2 linked regions of the Ovis aries genome follow. The protein of the gene in region 2 binds, or shares a complex with, the protein of the main gene of each other region. Links are inferred from orthologs where the notes say so. Each region holds a gene or a part of one and is shown on either strand. Other genes may lie near its edges.

Evidence for each region.
Region 1: the proteins of PDS5B (region 2) and WAPL are in contact, whole or in part, in a crystal structure (PDB 5HDT), measured with the Homo sapiens proteins. The link is inferred for Ovis aries from reciprocal best matches to the Homo sapiens genes PDS5B and WAPL. Residues at the interface, in NP_055847.1 of Homo sapiens: Gln47, Phe88, Ala92, Pro93, Ala95, Trp137, Val138, Lys139, Ser140, Asn142, Ile143, Phe145, Glu146, Glu187, Gly188, Asp189; in NP_055860.1 of Homo sapiens: Lys7, Thr8, Tyr9, Ser10, Arg11.

What each region holds. Positions count from the first base shown.
Region 1 is NC_056078.1:40,189,928-40,192,686, forward strand, and holds part of WAPL (wings apart-like protein homolog), read right to left. Parts: intron 1,158-2,759; coding exon 858-1,157; 3' UTR 536-857; coding exon of another isoform or gene 470-535; 3' UTR 1-469. UniProt on the Homo sapiens protein: Regulator of sister chromatid cohesion in mitosis which negatively regulates cohesin association with chromatin. Involved in both sister chromatid cohesion during interphase and sister-chromatid resolution during early stages of mitosis.
Region 2 is NC_056063.1:28,630,192-28,634,021, reverse strand, and holds part of PDS5B (sister chromatid cohesion protein PDS5 homolog B), read left to right. Parts: intron 1-835; coding exon 836-950; intron 951-2,661; coding exon 2,662-2,794; intron 2,795-3,114; coding exon 3,115-3,234; intron 3,235-3,830. UniProt on the Homo sapiens protein: Regulator of sister chromatid cohesion in mitosis which may stabilize cohesin complex association with chromatin. May couple sister chromatid cohesion during mitosis to DNA replication.

The sequences.
Region 1 (2,759 bases), on a different chromosome or scaffold from region 2:
AAGCAAATGAGCCTGAAAAAGGAACTAAGCTGTCGTCTAGAATGTCCTCAGAACATTCAATGCCTCAGTAGCTACGCTGCCTTTGCACCTGGCTGGCATGACAACAGTGGCTCAACATACACAGCAGTTGCACTAACAGCAGCACAAGTTTCCCCCTAGAGCTTGCCCAGAACAAAGCAAGAGAACAAGGGGAGAGTATAAATTCTGCCAAAGTGTGTTTAAATACTGCGTGGAACTGTTAACAGCCTGAACCTTTTCCCTCATTTTTGATAGTTGCAGATTGATGTAGTAACTGTCATTTAGCAAATGCAGAATGCATGACGAAGAAGAAATCAGGTGGCCTTAAAAATCCAAATATGAATGATACTGATGAATGTTCTTGGTGTATCTTCAAGGACTTCTTCCGTGACTTTTCTTTGTCTAAGTATAGCTCCAGCATTGCCGAGCACCTGAAGCAAAGGGCAAGCAGCTAGCAGTGTTCCAAGTACTCAATCACTCTAGAGATGGACTTCTGGCCCGTAGTTCCAACAGCACACTGGAAAGGGGAGGGGTGGAGGTCGGGGGCGGGGGGGGGGGGGGGTGGGTGGGTTGGCGGTGGGAGTGGAGGGGAAGTCACAGTTAATTCTCCAAAGCACTGCATCAGAGCTTAAACTATTTAGCTTTATTAAACCAAACATTATGACTCAAAACAAGGTGAGATCAAACTATGGCTTTCATAATACAGTATCAATGTATTTGGCCCTAATAATTCAGTTACCTTAAAGAAACCATGCAATTATTAAAGGAAAATCATTTTTTTGCTTCTGTTCATGATGGCCATAATACTTGTATTTCTACTGTCATTTCTTAAAAAGTATTTATTGAATTTTTCTTTTAATTACAGTATTTATGCTTTGGTTTTCTGGTTGCAAATCATGTGGGCTCTTAGTTCCCTGACCAGGGACTGAACTTGCACACCCTACACTGAAGGTGCCGTCTTCACCTCTGGCCTGCCAGGGAAGTCCTGCATTTCTACTGTCATAGTGTGTCGTATGTAAAACCACAGAATACAAGTTACTTACGGTAAGATTCATGAAGCTCAGGAATTTTTTGAGCATCTCTGTCATTATTGAAAAGTCCCCTTCTGGCAGATACTCCCGCACAGTGGTCACATTGATCTAAGGAAACAAACCAAAGGAGCACTGGTCAGGTGGCAGAACACAGGAGTCTGAACCTTGCACTGTGTAGTTGGTTTTGGCACACATCCTGTTTCAAACTTATACAAGGTCCTTAAACTCCCTGGTTAATATGCAATTTCCTTTTCCACACTCTAACTTTTGTGACCTGTGAGTCCATTCTCTACCCCACCCTATCCCATCCTCAGAAAGAAAGGAAAAAGATAAAGCTGCCAAAGACTACAAAGAAACATTTATGTGCATATTTACTTTTGTAAATGCACAGAAAAATGCCTGAAATAACAAAATGTACTGTAGGGGGTGGGGCAGAACGAGCAGGGATAAGAATAGCAAGGAAATGCAGACTGAGAAAGTATCCATAAAGCTGATAAGGAATGTAAAGAAAAAGATCAAGGAAAATTCTTCATGTAGGCTAGGAATTAACTGTATCTTTCCAAAGGAAATCTAGTATCATCTATAGAAAAAAAATGTACGCAATGTCAGGACAGAAGATTAGGATGTTTCCCTCCGTTATTAGCAAGAAGCAGCCAAACTGTATATAAACCAGTTTATGGTAAGAAAAACACATGGCCTGCTTAAAATGTTGTTTTATTTCAATACGTATTTAAAATGCTTTAAAGATTCATAAAGAATAAAAGGAAAAGCTCTTCTAAGGAGGCTCACCTATAATAAAAAGCACATACAAAAAGAAAAAAAAGACGGGAAGAGGGATGCTTTTGATTTCGTATTTGTTGATGAAGACATGGAAGAGTACATATTATCCTCTTAGGAAATTTGCAACCAATCCCCTCTCTCCCACTTTTACAGCTACTCAGTAAAAGCTTGCAGCTCCAATCCTGAGGGATTTTGCCATCTTTCAATGCTGTATTTTGAACACACACTGAGGCTATATTGAGTGGCACATCGTGAGGGCAACAGCTAGCTGCAGAGGTAATGCAAAGCTGGGTTTAAATGCACCCTAACCAACTGCACAGAGAGGGGCAGGGTAGCACGGTGGTGGGAAGACTGGATGCTGGCTATGAAGATGGCTCAACAAAAAAGGGTGCCTCTCTCATTCAGAGTAAAGAATTAGATCCTAGGTTTCAAGTGAAAGCTTCTCAACAACCCAAATCAAATCCTTTTCTATCAACAAATTACGAGTACAACACAGTAAGTAGCCAAGGCATGGGAAGGAGAGTCAGAGCATTTACTTTAAAAGTGTGCAATAAATGGTAGTGTACAGGAGGTAAGAAAAGGTGTGAAGCGGCATGGCCTACTTCAGAAATTTAGAAACGCAACCAAGGGGTGTGACAGACTCTAATACTAGATCAACTATGCTTCAGTAAAATAAAATACTGGAGAAGCAGTTAAGTTTGGAGTCTTATAGCAGTAAACAAAGCTATCATTTCCTAAATGACAGTGAGTCAAGAAAGACTGGCGGGTTGGAGGGTTAACATGATCAGATGTGCTCTTAAGGAAGTTAGCTATGGTGGTGGTATGCAGGATTTCAGGAAAGGAGAGTTGAGAAAAGCAAGAACAGAAAGGCCACAGAGAAGACTGACCATTAAAACACACCAGATGCCTACCGGGCAATGGAAAGTGACA
Region 2 (3,830 bases):
GATAGACTTTAATTCAAATTTCACTGATGTTACTTTTTTCTTCTGTACCTACCTTGAAATGAATATTACACATAAGCTTATTCTCTTTGAGTTCAGTGATAGGAATAAAGAAAATTTGGTGCCTTGTTGACACATACATTATTTTACTCTAGACTGAACATCTGATTTAAAATTACAAGAGTAGGAAATATAAAAAGAATTGCTCAGAGTATGAATCTTGGTCTTTTGGGTAACCTTTATTAAAACTAGTTAGGATTTCCATTTCTATGTATAATGGATTGTACTGATCTCAGTCAAAAAATTAAAACATTTGAATTTAAACTGAAAAGATACTTCATTGTTATTTAAAATGCCCTAGAAACAATGTTCTTTTCTATCAGTTTTTATGTTGTAAATTGTATTAAATAGTATCAACCTTTACTTCCTATTTTTGTGCCATACTGACTGAAAGATTTACTAGTTGTTTTCCTTTTGCACAGCAACTTACAAGGGAGTGTTGAACCTAGAGTTACTAATAAGAAGAAAAATAGATTTTATGTTCCTTAGTCTTGAGTATAGTTTGGGTCACTTTTTCTCGTATCTGTTGAAAATTGAAATATTTATCTTTGTAGGCTCAGCACAGGGTGCGTTTAGTAGGCATATCAGTATTGGCCATGATGGATAACTGAATAAACTTTATGATGTACCTCAGCACTAGACCTTTCAGTGTATTTTTCTTCCAGTGATATTGTGGTATATTATTGGGATGCAAGAAATAAAGATTATCAGAGAGAGAAAGAGAATGAGTAAGATTTGGTTTTCTAACCTAGATGTTTTTGTTTTATTTCTTTTTCAGAAAAATTATTGTCTCTTCTACCTGAGTATGTTGTTCCATATACAATTCACCTTTTGGCGCATGACCCAGATTATGTCAAAGTACAGGATATTGAACAACTTAAAGACGTTAAAGAGTAAGACTTTTTCCATCCCATTTTCATATTTTCTGAAGTTTTTTCCCCTTTCCTGCTGATAATGGAATCTCAGTTATAATTAGTGTTTTAAATTTATTTCATTTCTTAGGAGTTTAAGGTTCTTTACCTTATTTGTTCTCTTTTTTTTCCCTTACCATCTCTTCATATTTCATTTCTTATATAATTCCCAAAACAACTTAGCATAATTACTGTATTGCTGTCCTGTTTCTCTACCAGTCTGGCATTTCTTTTCTATTGAAGTTATCCATTAAAGAGTTTGCTTTGTAATTCTTATCTCTTCCTACTTTCTTCTGAAGCACTGTATAGATTTTTATGTGGAGTGAATTAACACTCTTATTCACATGGTAAGCATATTTCCTTTGCAGTTCCTGTCTTTCTCCGTAAGGAAGAAAGATAATCTAATTTAATAATGGGCCAAGTTGATAACCAGGGAACTGTTCCCATACTTCACTGTTGATTCTCTGACTAAATTAGGTTTATAACAGTTGTAGTTCTTTAAAAGATTCTTGTTGAGATGCCAGAAGAATATACCTGCCAGGGTGTGGGATGGGGGAATATAATGGTATTTAGAGAAGTCTTTGTAAGACTTCCTTAAATAGAGATGAGATCCTATTTCTGTTATAGTAAAGGGTGACCTCTGTGGTTTTGAATAAATTAATTTCTTATGCTTTTAGCTTCTTATTAAAGGAAAATAACTCTTGGTTTCTTGATTCATAGAAATATTTTAAGTTAAGTATTTGTGGTGCTTCAAGAGAATAAAATTAAATTACTGGTAATTTTCTCATGACAAGAGAAAAGGCTTTTGCCCTCTTTTTGCCATAGTTTCTAGTTTTAGAAAATAAGCAATTAGTTTTCCCAAATGAATTCTGTGTTAGTATGATTATACTAAGGAAAACTTTTTGCCATTCCTCTTTCTTAGAACACTTTTTTTTTTAATGATAAAATATTCCTTGAAACTTACTAAATAAATATTTGGGGCTGTATTTATAAATGGTCTAGTACAGCCCTGAGTGATCTCCTTTCTCTCAGAGAAAAGAAACTGTAACCTATGCCTGCGGTCTCAGAGGTTACTTTTTTCCCTTCCAGAATGATGCCTTGTTTCACATTTCCCTTTTCTCCCATTTTCTCCTCTGTACGATCACTCTGTCCCATTCTGTATGCATAATACAGAGACAAAGGACTTTCATTTTTTTCTTGCATAGAATTTAATATAATTACCCTGAAACTGAGGTACTTAAACTTGTTTTTTCCCTTAAGTACATAAAGTTGTCAGCCCTGACTTTTCCCTCAATTTATTGATGAAGACTCTCACGGTTGTTTGCGTTTCCTAAAGACTGCAGTCAGAACCACAGTCAATCTTAGCACATGAGAGTCTCCACTTTATGACCCAGTTACTGCTTCAGGCAGCCCTCCATCCCTGCCACAGCTCAGGATTAAGATCATTGCTTTATTTCTACCATTTCTGTTTCTTTTTAACTTTTCTGTCTACCTAGGAAAATTAGTGAGACTTTGAGAAAGGATGTTATGAACTCATACCTACCTTGCTGATACGTTGTAATATGTATGTGACATACTTTTTTTCTCTATTGATTTTTAGCTGTTTCTTTTTAATTTTTTCTGCTCTTGGAGTTCATTATATTTAGAATTATATCTGTATTTAATAGTGAATTTTTTTCTTGGTATTTTTTAGGTGTCTTTGGTTTGTTCTGGAAATACTAATGGCTAAAAATGAAAATAATAGTCATGCGTTTATCAGAAAGATGGTAGAAAATATTAAACAAACAAAAGATGCCCAAGGACCAGATGATGCAAAAATGAATGAAGTATGTAATTCTTTGTAAATAGTTATGATTCTGTATTGACTTTAAGCATTTGAGCATAGGGTATAAGACTTCTGTAGACAGCATCAGTCTTTTCTACTAGTAGTAAATAGTAGTATTCGTGTTAATATAGAATCAGTAGAGAATGGTAGTAATGCTGTTACTAGTAAACTAATTACAGTAATAGAATAAGTATATTAACTTACACTGTTGTCCTGAAAACTACGTACTAAATGCATGTTCTGGAATTACTCCTAATTCACAGATTCTAGTTTGCCAACTTAAGTACCTGATTTTTTCTTTTTGTTTAATACCCATTGCAGAAACTGTATACTGTGTGTGATGTTGCCATGAATATCATCATGTCAAAAAGCACCACATATAGTTTGGAATCTCCTAAAGACCCAGTACTGCCAGCGCGTTTTTTCACCCAGCCTGACAAGGTAGTTATTTTAGGATTTATTTGTGTAAGTTGAAATAAAATGTATTGTCACCACTAGGTTGTGGGAAGATCAGGAAGAGTCAGTGTCAAGAGTTGACCCACTACTTATGTCATGGGGAAAGGTCGCCATGAATCTTAACCATGTTCAAGATCAGAATATGGGCCAAGCTGGAGGACACAGATAGGTTCAGAAATGAGTTAAAATGATATAGAATTTTTATTGTTTTCTGAGTTTTATGTTAGTCTTAAGAGCACTGGCAAAAATGTGATCAAAGCTGGTAAATTGCCGAGTTAATGGCCATTGATTCAAAACGGGAAGGAGAATGCTGATACAGTCTGAAATTATAAGCCCTTGAAATTTTAACTGGTGTGAAAGAATCAGAGAACTGACATTGGAGCATGCTTAATACCTGGGAAGTATTACAGGGATCTTCCCAAACCACTCTCAGAAAACTCAAGTGTAGTATTAATCTAAAAAAGGTATTTTTAAGAATCTCTTGGAGGTTTATAGTCTACCTAAGTGAGAGGAGAACAGTCATTACCCTTTTTTTTTTTTTTTTTAAGCAGAATACCAGTTAATATCTTAACCCCAGTGTA